4 linked regions of the Danio rerio genome follow. The protein of the gene in region 2 purifies or fractionates together with the protein of the main gene of each other region. This does not show direct contact. Links are inferred from orthologs where the notes say so. Each region holds a gene or a part of one and is shown on either strand. Other genes may lie near its edges.

Evidence for each region.
Region 1: the proteins of ssb (region 2) and larp7 purify together in Homo sapiens (affinity purification with mass spectrometry; 4 studies listed by BioGRID and IntAct, with this or other methods). This does not show direct contact. The link is inferred for Danio rerio from reciprocal best matches to the Homo sapiens genes SSB and LARP7.
Region 3: the proteins of ssb (region 2) and ro60 purify together in Homo sapiens (affinity purification with mass spectrometry; 3 studies listed by BioGRID and IntAct, with this or other methods). This does not show direct contact. The link is inferred for Danio rerio from reciprocal best matches to the Homo sapiens genes SSB and RO60.
Region 4: the proteins of ssb (region 2) and ybx1 purify together in Homo sapiens (affinity purification with mass spectrometry; 3 studies listed by BioGRID and IntAct, with this or other methods). This does not show direct contact. The link is inferred for Danio rerio from reciprocal best matches to the Homo sapiens genes SSB and YBX1.

What each region holds. Positions count from the first base shown.
Region 1 is NC_133182.1:62,349,427-62,351,619, forward strand, and holds the end of larp7 (la-related protein 7), read right to left. Parts: intron 1,719-2,193; coding exon 1,576-1,718; intron 1,495-1,575; coding exon 1,385-1,494; intron 1,290-1,384; coding exon 1,130-1,289; intron 1,044-1,129; coding exon 952-1,043; intron 769-951; coding exon 694-768; 3' UTR 505-693; downstream 1-504. UniProt on the Homo sapiens protein: RNA-binding protein that specifically binds distinct small nuclear RNA (snRNAs) and regulates their processing and function.
Region 2 is NC_133181.1:4,437,462-4,440,981, forward strand, and holds part of ssb (lupus La protein), read left to right. Parts: intron 1-1,275; coding exon 1,276-1,413; intron 1,414-1,912; coding exon 1,913-2,105; intron 2,106-2,181; coding exon 2,182-2,298; intron 2,299-3,520. UniProt on the Homo sapiens protein: Binds to the 3' poly(U) terminus of nascent RNA polymerase III transcripts, protecting them from exonuclease digestion and facilitating their folding and maturation.
Region 3 is NC_133177.1:12,355,547-12,359,066, reverse strand, and holds part of ro60 (RNA-binding protein RO60), read right to left. Parts: intron 249-3,520; coding exon 28-248; intron 1-27. UniProt on the Homo sapiens protein: RNA-binding protein that binds to misfolded non-coding RNAs, pre-5S rRNA, and several small cytoplasmic RNA molecules known as Y RNAs.
Region 4 is NC_133183.1:56,871,300-56,874,198, forward strand, and holds the end of ybx1 (Y-box-binding protein 1), read right to left. Parts: intron 1,698-2,899; coding exon of another isoform or gene 1,695-1,697; coding exon 1,466-1,694; 3' UTR 1,429-1,465; intron 850-1,428; 3' UTR 508-849; downstream 1-507. UniProt on the Homo sapiens protein: DNA- and RNA-binding protein involved in various processes, such as translational repression, RNA stabilization, mRNA splicing, DNA repair and transcription regulation.

The sequences.
Region 1 (2,193 bases), on a different chromosome or scaffold from region 2:
TTTGTCTATATCGCAACAGTTCTCGTTCTCAAACGTCATCTTTTATGAAAGGCGGAATATTTAACAACATTACCTCCTCACCAGATTTATAAGAGGAAAACTCATTGTATGTGCTTTCACTAAAATGCCTTGTTCTACAACCTTGTTCACCTTATCTTTGGAATCCAAAAAAAAAACATTCTGGAAGCAGATCTTATGCTTTCATATCCAACTATTTGTCCGGCCGCAAGGCTACATTCTTCCACAGAACAATCAACTCCAACCGGCACTTTGATTCCATGCCGCCGTTGCTCTAACCCTCCACTTTCCTTCACCCCGGCCATAATGGCCAAAAAGAAACTAAAATAATTATATTAACTTCAACACAATTTTCCAAAGTAAATTAAGCAATAAACTATCCGTGAAAGTTGGGAAAAACACAGTCGCTCTCACAGTCACGCTTCACTCACTCCACAGACGCACACACATACGCACGAGAGAGAGAGAAAGAGAGAGACAGCTCTGTCAACTGCTTAAAAAACTTTTATTCAAAACCAATCAAATAGGAATAATGAAACTTGTAAAGAATAAAATAATAATAATGATAACATCAATGACTCAATTAAAGATTGTTACAGTATATATAAAAAATGCAAACAAATGTACAGATTAAATCAGATCATTTCAAACGACCTTTTACATTTTGTCACCCAGTTAATCATCAAAGCGGATGTGATTGCTTGCTTCCTTGGCCTTAGCAATGATGATTTTCTCAGCTTTAGAAATGAGCTATGAAAAGCATACATTACACACACACACACACACACACACACACACACACACACACACACACACACACACACACACACACACACACACACACACACACAGACAGACAGTATTGTAAATTTAAATTGTTTTAGTTTGTTGTTGTCTTTTTACTGTTAAAAGTATGTTGAGTATTTATGTTACCTTTTCTGTTCCACGCTTTTTTTCTCTAGGAGTGTTCAGCTTTGCTTGTCTGTCCACCAAAATCTTCTGCCAGTACCTTCTTTCATGGTCACCTTTTTATTAATTAATACATGATTTAGATAATATTCTGCATTGACAAAAAACAGCTAAAAAACAGCATTCAAAAAATCCTACCAACCAGAAAGGAGTTCAAGGTTCCAGTTGTATTTTTTCTGAAATTCAAATCGTGCTTTAATGACTTTCTGTGCATCTTCAGAACTTTTAAAGCGAACATGACCCTCTGTATCTCCATCAAGAAGGTCCACATAAGCCACAGGGGACAGCTCAGATAGCATATCCTGCATGTATGAAAAAGACAAATTACTTATTTAATGTATATAAGATAAAAAGTATGACAAAAAGTATCACCAAATAAACTACAAAATTACCATACCTTGATGCACCTCTTGCTCGGCAGAGGTTGGTTATAGCTAATCTTGACAATGACACCACTTAAAAACTCAGGACCAGAAGTGAGCTCTTTCTTAGGTGTATCTTTATAAACTTTAAGAAAAAAATAATCAGGGAAATAAATAGCAAAAGCTTATCACAGCCAAAATGTCCTCACAAGCAAAATATACTCACAAGCATTCGTGTCATCCTCTTTAAGCTTCACGATGTGATAGTTTGTTGGCTTTTGATTGATCTGAAAAACTGACTGCTTCAGATGGGCCATGCAGCGCTTCTGCAGTGTGAGATACTCTTGCTTCAGGTCCAACCACTCCTTCCTGATATTTGAAAAAGGGGCAGATAGATAAACACTCATTAGCTTATGTGTGTTTGTGTGTGTGTGTGTGTGTGTCTAAGGCTAGGTTTACACTGCAATGCTTAGTGCTCAAATCTGATTTTTTTTCTCAGATCTGATTTTTTGCATGGCTGTTTACACTGCTCTTGTAAATGTGGTCAATATGAGATTTGCAGTGTGAATAGATCATGGTCCTAAATTAGGGGTGTCAAACATGTGGTCCGCGGGCCGGATCAGGCCCGCAAACACGTTTAATCTGGCCCGCGAGATGATTCGGTACAGTGTAAAAGAGAGAGAGAGTTTTAATTTTATTGCCATTTCCGCTTCTATGGCTATGTCATGGCAAAAAAACACATTTTATAAATAACACTTTTCTATAATTATAAAAATGTCCTAATAATTAAGTCATTAACAGCAATAAATAATACACAATGTAAAATACATAAATAATAATAATA
Region 2 (3,520 bases):
TTCAGGGTTTAGCTCCAACCTCCCTCAACACTCTTGCCTGGATGTTTCAAGTATACCTAGTAAGACCTTGATTAGCTTATTCAGGTGTGTTTGATTAGGGTTGGAGCTAAAATCCACAGGACACCAGCCCTCAATTCCTGGAGGGCCGCAGCTCTGCACAGTTTTGCTCCAACCCTAATCAAACACAGCTGATCCAAATAACTGAGGTGTTCAAAGGAGTCATGAACACCTTCAGTGGTTGGATCAGCTGTGTTTGACCAAGGTTGCAGCAAAACTGCAGAGCTGCAGCCCTCCTGGAATTGAGTTTGAGACCTATGGCTTTAAGGTATAGTTCACTTAATGTATTTTTTGGGTTCACGTAATTTGCAATACTAAACATAATTTGGGCGCTGTTTACTATCCCTCAACTGATGATGAAACTGAGTTTCTTCTGTTGAAAACAAAAGAAGATATTTTGAAGAATGCTGAAAACCCCTAACATCCATAGTAAGAAAAAATGGAAGTTACAGGTACGGCATTTATTAAATGTAAAATGTTAAATACTTATTTATGTAATATTTATTTATTACTTATTGTATCTTGTTTCAAATGAAATTATTACTTTAGTCATTATTGCTTTAATTACTATTACCAGTAATTATAGTAACAATAATTATTATTATTAGAGTGATTTCTGAAGGATCATGTGACTCTGAAGACTGGAGTATTTCATCTTTAAAATCACTGGAATAAATATTTTAATTAAATGATAAACTACTTTTAAACAGTAATTTCTTTAGTGCAATAACATTTCACAATTCTACCATACGCACTGTATTTTTAATTAAATAAATGCAGCCTTGGTGAGCAGGAGAAGCTAATTTTAAAACATTTAAAAATCAACAAACTTGTCGGCACTAATGGCGTAGTGGTTAGTGCGTCGACACATGCACTCCGGTGCTCACGGCGACCTGAGTATGATTCCTGCCTCAAGGTCTTTTGCCAATTCTTCGCCTCTCTCTGCTCTCCACGCTTTCCTCTTGATACGCTCAATTCAAGGTGAAAAAAAAAAATCCCCAAACTGTTGAGCGATAGTGTATATTAGTAGCAAGCAAAAGATGTCGAAATATGATGATTCATTAAAGTGATTCAGAGCAGACACTTTCTGTTGAGAGGCTTTATTTTTATTTATCATGCACTTCTTTTATTAACAACTGTGTAGACAGTTTACATGCATACAAAAAATACGATATTTTTTTAAAGCTGCTCAATGATATAACTCTTTTGTTTGCCCAGAAATCCCTGAATGAGCAGAGAGGCTGCCTGCTGAAGTTCTCTGGTGAATTGGGTCAGACCTCAAGGGAGGATTTTCACTCCGTCTTCTCTGATCACGCTCAAATCAAGTGGATTGATTTCACCAGAGGAGCTAAAGAGGTGAGGACTGAGAGTCAGTGGTTATTCAGTCTGGACAACATCATTTTAAATGTCTTGCTGTAGTAATCTAATATTTAAATGATTTTGAAATAAGATTCATATAGATTTTAGGGGTGTAACGATACACTGGAGTCAGGGTTTGGTATGTGCTTTGGGGTCATGGTTCAGTACAGTACAGCAGGAATAAGCAACAGTTCTCCAGTGCTTGCTTTTTATATTGAACAGGCAGACTTGTTTTGTCACAATCAGCTACAGAACTAAAAAGCTTCTTGTGATTTTAAAAGTACATAATAAACACAATAATAAAAAATAAAGCCTTATTATTAGGGAACTCTGTATTAAACCTACAAAGATTTTGCTCAGTCCTTTCCTAAAACAGAAATTGTAAGAAAAAACTGTCTTAAATTTAAGACCTTTTTAGCACCTTTAGTTCAACCACAAGTTGTCAATCCCCCATACTGCACCTGTAAAGTTGTCTTCCGTCCATTACTTTGCTCAGGGCACCATCCTGTTCCACTCCAACGCTAAAGAGGCTCTCCAGAAAGTCCGAGAGGCTCTCAACGGGGAGGATCCCAAGGTGAAGGAGCAGGCCGTTCAGTGGGAGATTCTGGAGGGAGACGTGGAGATGGAAACACTGAAGAAAATCATCGAGGATCAGCAGGAGTCAATAAACAAACGCAAAGGAGGCCGAGGTAAATCACAGGACATCATGAAGACACATGCCACGGTCTAAACCCACTGTTTACCACATTTACACTGTGATTGCAGGAGGGTTCAGGGGTCGAGGAAGAGGACGAGGAGGCCGCAGAGACCGAGGAGGACGAGAACACACTCAGTTCAAGGGAAAGAAGACCAAGTTTGATAGCGATGAAGAGGGAGATGAAGGTAAAAGGGACACTCTGGTTTACTTTTTTTCTTCTTCTTGATTGATTTTCTTGTTTGTCCCGCTTAATACTATGGGTTATTCGAGGACAACAAACACAATGTAAAAAATACACTTCACTGAACATGCGTTACTATTACATGTAAATATTATATCTTTTGGAACGACCCCGTGTAACTGCAGGAAACTGCTTATATATTGCCAACCCCTTAACTTCTCTGATTTTAGCTAATGTAGTGTGCAACTTTTGTGAAGCTTTGGAATGATAATTATTGTGAAAGTGCTATACAAGTATAAAAGATTTTCAGTAAAATGCGCATATATGGGTAAAATTCACACTTTTTCCAGTGTTTATTTTTAGAAGGTCATGATTCACACTCATTAAACAATTATCCAACAATTAAAATCCCTTATAATAATAATAAAAATAATAATAATTTCTTACATTTATATAGCGCTTTTCTGGCCACTCAAAGCGCTTTACACAATCGGGGAATCTCCTCATCCCACACCAGCTGATTGGTGGAGAGGAGACACAGTGATGAAGCCAATTATGATATGGGGATGGTTAGGAGGCCATGATGGACAGAGACCAGTGGGCGAATTTGGGATTTTAACGTTTTAACGACCACAGAGAGTCGGGACGTCGGTTTAACGTCTCATCTGAAGGACGGCGCTCACTGAGCAGTATAGCGTCCACGTCACTATACTGGGGCATTAGGACCCACAGAGACCACAGGACGGGTGCCCCCTGCTGGTTTCACTAATGCCATTTCCGGCAGCAACCTAGCTTTCCCATGTGGTCTCCCATCCAGAAGCTGACGGGACACAGCCCTGCTTAGCTTCAGTGGGCGACCATGTGAGTTGCAAAGAGCTAGCTGCTGGCCTCTTCTCTCCACTCTCTTAAGGCTGATTTATACTTTAGCGTCGAGTGATCAGTGTGGCCCACGGTGCCTACCTTGCATGCAAACTTGCATTTATACTTCTGTGCGCTGTTTGTGTTGCTCTCAGGGCCGGAGCAAGCTGAACTGCTGCTCTAGGCAGAGGACGATCACGCCACCCTTAACCCCAATGTGAAAACGAAAGTGACCGGTTATAAAAATGAAGTGAGGTGTCGCGGACCTCTATTGTGCCGCCCTATGCGCGGATATAACTGAGGACGCGCGGGTGCTGAGGGAGGTGTCGTGGACGCCGCCCTATGCGCGGATATAACTGAGGACGCGC
Region 3 (3,520 bases), on a different chromosome or scaffold from region 2:
TAATTAATTAGTCAAGTGTGGCAAAACCTCTTTGGACTTGAGATGGTTGGTGAGAAGCTGCTCTTTCCCCAGTCTCTGCTCCTCAATCAGATGAATGAGCTCCTGTTCATCAGTGGAGTGTTTGACTTTTTCAACAGCTTCCAGATACGCAAAAACCTTCTGCAGATCCTCAGATTTGTCTTTCTCAGCATATGCTTCCTCAACCCCTTTCCATCCTTTCGTGATGTATTTGCAAACGAGAGCAATGTCTGTGTAGAACAAGAACACATACTTAATTTTAATCTGTGATTTCTGACACAACAATTAAAAATTTTATTTTTATTTTTTTACATAGAGTATTTGTGCTTTACAAATATAGAAAGTTCTGACTTTAAAACTTTGATATGATTATTTATAAATTGTGATAAGTGCTAGAACAGTTTTAGTTGGCACATTTATTTTATTTATATTGTGACAGTAAAAAGTATTTAATAATAAATGCAACATATATGAAAGTCGCATTGCTTAGTATTACTTAAAAATATATATAATATAATATAATATAATATAATATAATATAATATAATATAATATAATATAATATAATATAATATAATATAATATAATATAATATAAGAAAATACAAAATTATTCAATTAAATTTTGTACTAAGCAAATTAAAAATAAATTATTACATATAGAATTTTGGCATTTGAATTTAATACAATTTACATAGGAGATTGAATTTATATACATAGAAAGCATAAAGCATAACATAGCATTAATATTTCAAAACTTTTTGTGAAAATTTAAAAATATGGGTGAAATAATGTTTTATTATTCAAACATTTATTTTGCCATGTACTTACTAAAATAAAAGTATAATTGAACATTAAATTATCACATATTTTAACAATTTGAGAAAATTATAATTAATAAAAGTAAAAGTAACACCTGACAAAAGGTTTGTCAACATGAACAATTGCTACCATTAATGCAATTTTAGTGGGTATCTTCTGTGAATTATGGTAAAAAAAAATGTTAAACATAACGAAACGTTAAACAAAAGAAATTCTGCTTATTTATTTAGACGTTGATGCAAGAAAACGTTTTGTCTTTTAACCATTTATCAAAATAGTACCAGCGTTTACATACATTTGTGATTGTCTCTCTTCTTAAAAAATGTAAAAATGTTATGTATATGTTTGTATGTATGTATATAGGGGGCGAGGCAGTGGCACAGTAGGTAGTGCTGTCGCCTCACAGCAAGAAGGTCGCTGGTTCAAACCCCGGCTCAGTTGGTGTTTCTGTGTGGAGTTTGCATGTTCTCCATGCCTTCGCGTGGGTTTCCTCCGGGTGCTCCGGTTTTCCCCACAGTCCAAAGACATGCGGTACAGGTGAATTGGGTAGGCTAAATTGTCCGTAGTGTATGAGTGTGTGTGGATGTTTCCCAGAGATGGGTTGTGGCTGGAAGGGCATCCGCTGCGTAAAACTTGCTGGATAAGTTGGCGGTGCATTCTGCTGTGGCGACCCCGGATTAATAAAGGGACTAAGCCGACAAGAAAATGAATGAATATATATATATATATATATATATATACATACATAAACACACACACACGCACACACATTATTAGCCCCCCTGAATTATTGGGGGGCTATTTTTCCCCCCAATTTGTGTTGAACAGAGATTTTTTTCAGCACATTTCTTTTATATATATATATATATATATATATATATATATATATATATATATATATATATATATATATATAAAAACACGGAGAGTCTAAAAACTCTTTTGTATAAGAAACTACAAGTGATTTTACTCACATTTCAAGATTATGAGGCTGAGCGGCATGAAATCTCTACAGAGATTTCCCAGTATTTCTCTGTTGCAATTGGGAGATCAAAATAATTAACCTCAAAAAAGTTAGAACAGTGCAAACACTACCAGATTACTGTTGTTTGCGATAAGGAAAAATCCTAAACACACACATGGATTTCTTCTTTCTTTCTGTTTACTGAACCAGTCTGCAGTAACTCATAAGAAACAGATGATCAACCAAAAAGTAACTCAGGGTTAGATAAAGAGTGTAACACAGAATACATACATTCCTAATATTTGAGTCCTATCTCACACTCAACACCCTAAGACTGCTATGGTATAGACCAGGGGTGGGCAAACTCGGTCCTGGAGGGCCGGTGTCCTGCATAGTTTAGCTCCAACTCTAATCAAAAACACCTGAACATGCCAAAAAGTGTCTTCAAGATCACTAGAAATCTATAAGCAGGTGTGTTTGATTAGAGTTGGAGTTGAACTGTGCAGGACACCGGCCCTCCAGGACCGAGTTTGCCCATCCCTGGTATAGACAACACTGGAACATACAAAATAGAGTGAGATCAACTTAGAAAGTCACTTTTTTAATCAGCTGTAGTTTAAAATTACGCTGGGTTTTCCCTCCTTTAAGGGCTGATTATGCGGTCTGTGTCACCATATTGTTGATGGCGCTGTATCTCCAAAACTATAAATATTTAAAGTAAATAAACTGCATATTCAAACTTTCCTTATGAATAAACTGCATTGTTTCAATCAAAACAACTACATTCTCGCCCTAAAAAGCCTTATGCTGCGTTCACACCAGATGCGGCACGCGTGTCAAGCGCGAGTGATTTACATGTTAAGTCAATGCAAAAGCGCGAATAGACATCCTGCGGCGCGATATGCGCGAATAGCGCGGCGCGAATGACGCAAATTGCGCGCGAAAAACGAGCGTTTCGCGCAAATCTCTCGATTTCGAAAATCTGAACTTCAGCGTACATTCGCGCCGCGTAAACCAATCAGAAGCTTGCTCTTGTGGGGGCGTGATTGTGACGTAGAACCTGTTGTCGGTGTTCCGAGGGAAATCCTCCAGCCTTCACCGACAACAGTTCATCAAACTCGGCTTGGCTAAGTTAGAAGCACCGCTGAAAGCCTCCGTCATCTAGGTTAAGTTTCTGGAAGAGTTTATGAGCTCACAGAGCTGAATGCACCTCTGAAAGAATGTAGTGGACTCAGACACAACCCTAAAAGTATCAACGCTGTTTTTCAGTCTTCATAAAGCACATAAACACTGTTATTTTCTTCATAAAATCCATGTTAGCCATTTAGCTATGAAGCTAGAGTTTTCGGGCAGACAGAAGCCCTGCCCATCACGCGAATCCGTATCTGTTCTGATGTGAATTTGACACGCGAATGAAGTGGGGTTTGACGCACGTATGAAGCGAGTAAACTCAAATGTTCACGCAGCTATTTACGCGCAAGTAGCGCGATTTATCCGCGCGTTCCGCGTCTGGTGTGAACACAGCATTAAAAGTACATTATGTTGTCCAATAACTGCAATATTTGTCAAACTGTAATGAGTTCTGAGTAATGATCTGCTGTCAGTCTATTTGGGTGGAGTAATACGGTTTGGTAAGGAGGCTGTAGGAGTTCTGATATTGCAGAATATCTCACTGCTATCAGCCACTCAAATTCGAGAACCAGACAGAACTGTTGTA
Region 4 (2,899 bases), on a different chromosome or scaffold from region 2:
AATCATGCTAATTTTATGGTACTCCTCAGATCACCACAAGCTAAAAGCCACAGAATTATCAAAACTAAAAAGGTGTTAATTTGATATGCCCATCCAAACAAAAGATTTGTAAATAATTCAAAGCTTCATGTAGCACTACCCCCACCCTGCAAATACCACTTTAGTGTGTCACGGTAACAAATAGGATATGATGACATCCTGTGACTCAGTGTTCCCACAGAAACTCCCACAATGCTTTGGACTGAAGATTCAAATGTTTGTTGTATGACTGTTGTAGGTTGGTGTTATGGAGAGCGCATGAGAGATGGGGAGAGAGGCTGGTTTCCTGCTAGTTGTGCCACTCAGATCACCAACCGCACCGCCATGGAGAACAACATCCAGCGTATGGAGAGACTCCGCAAAGAGACCAACGTGTGAACCGAACCCCAGCCGCAGGACACTGTTTGTAGAGATGATTTTTAGACTAGTGTGAATCAGGAACTGTTAACAAACACCACTCGTACGAGATTAATGTTTCTGGTTTTTATTTCAGCTTGCCTTTTGTTAAAATTCATGTTTGGATACATAAAAAGTTATTTAAAAATGTCAAACTGACCAGATATCAAATTACATTTAAAAACCATTTGGTGTAAAAACTTAAGACCGATTTAGAAAAACATCTGCTGTTTCCCCAAAAGTTTTAGCTGTCACAAAAATAATGGAAAAACAAAACAAACAAAAAAAAAAGTCTGCATAGAGTCTGCAGGCAATCGGTGGTAATCTGGTCGAAATGCATTTTTGCAAGCTTAGACGATCGAAGTCATATCTGTTTCTTATTGCTCAGATGTTGGATGTTTCTTCTTGACAAAACTGTGAAAGCAAACACACACACAAAACACTAAGTCAGTATGCTTGAAGCAACTCATCAGTTACAAGCACTAAAATGTGTGTGAAAGGACAAAGCAGACAGTCTGCTAAATCAAATCCATTCCATCATCCAACCTTCCATCAATGAAAAGTGCGAGCTAAAGCTAAAACATCATCCATTATCTAGAGTTACGTCTAAAAGGAGCTAATAAGGCATTAAATCAGTCCACCAGCACAACTTTCATGACATTTAAGCACAAATCACATGAAAATGACTGCACATTTTACAATCCGCTTGGCTAAGGTTGTATTTAAAACATTTTCCACAAGAACTTCTGCTTAATTGTCATGAAATAACACCAAACATCATTCTGCTTCAAATATTCTTTATTTCCTTTAGGCAACAACAAAACATTTATTAAGCAAAATGTGCCTTTCAGATCTTTCATGAGACTCTGTCAACAAAAACAATTATAGAAAAAACGAAACAAAAGAATGCTACTGTACAAATTGCAACACACTTGAAGATCAAGTATGTTAAAGTACATGCAGTACTAGCTGAAATGAAACGGCGTCACCCACCCGGCCGGATGGTCTGGATGTTTAAGCCGGTGGCGGTTTAATCTGCTCCGCCCTGTTCGGCTTCGGGAGCGGCTGATTTGTCGGCTGATGCGTCGGCTGCCTTGCTGTCCTTGCCGTCCTGAGGCTTGGTTGTCTGGGGGCGTCTGCGGCGGTAGTTGAAGTTGCGACGGTAGCGGCGCTGACGGGGCTCCTGGTTCTGTCCGCTCTCGCTCTGGTTCTCCTTATCCTCCTCTCCGTCCCGCACTGGCCGGGGACGTGAGGGACCCCTGCTGGAACACAGATGATGAAGTGTCCATCAGATTCCCAGTATCAGTTTCTAAGGCAGTGTGTTTCTTAACCACAATCCTGGAGGACCACCAGCTCTGCACATTTTTCATGTCTCCGTAACCAAACACACCTGATTTAGATCATCAGCTCATTATTAAAAACTGAAAGACCTGAAATGGGTTTGACAGACAAAGGAGATTTCCAAAACATGCAGTGCTGGTGGTCCTCCGGGACTATGGTTGGGAAACACTGATGCTCAAACTACTTTACAGTTCTAACCAAATGTAAGAGCACAAACGGGATGGGACAGCTATTGGTTTTATAGTAACACTTTACAAAACAGGATCCTGTACATGTTTGTAAATACATTAATGAATGTTTAGTTTATTAGTTAAAGTATGTGCTTGTTAAATGAAAATATAGATGTTAACTTTAAGTGGAGTAATGTTACAAGAACAGTTCTGGATTTTTAGTTGTGTCCATAAATACATTATTAGTTCATGATACTAAATACACAGTCTTTCACAACGGGAAGTCTATTTAAAGAGCAATAGAAGTTAGTTTAACTAATAATTTGAAAGATCATTCGAAGAAATGTTCATGCCAAATGTTCAAAGCATTAGAAAGAATGCAGTTTACCATTGCAATTTCCTAATACTAAAAGCAACATATGAGGTAACTTTTAATTCATTTCTCACACACAAAAAAAAAGGGTGCGGTTAATTAGTAAAACATTTAAAAAGCAAAATGCTCCAGACTTGCACTTATTCGGTGTATCTTGCAGTATTATGGTTTAGCTTTATTCTTCCTAAGCTCGACTGTGCAGGATGGACATAATGAGGTTTGATTTGTGAGATTTAAAAAAAAAAAAAAAAAAAAGGGTTCACACAAAAACAAATACCGTTTTCATTTACTGAAACTGAACCTTTACAGTGTTTGACCGCACTGTAGAAAGCTAAAAACAGTTCTTGGTGCATGTGCGACTCTAGTCAGTCATCAAAATACAAAAACTGCATCACTTGTTTGAATGAGTGCCTTTGCACTTTCATAAATCAAGATCAAAAATGACAAATCAAATCATAAAGACTAGTCACACTTGCACAGAGATATTGATTGACTCTTTTGTATGCTTTTATTTTTATTCTAGAAAACCCAGAACCATTTACTGCTCTAATATAAAATCCCCAAAGACCACAGATTTAGC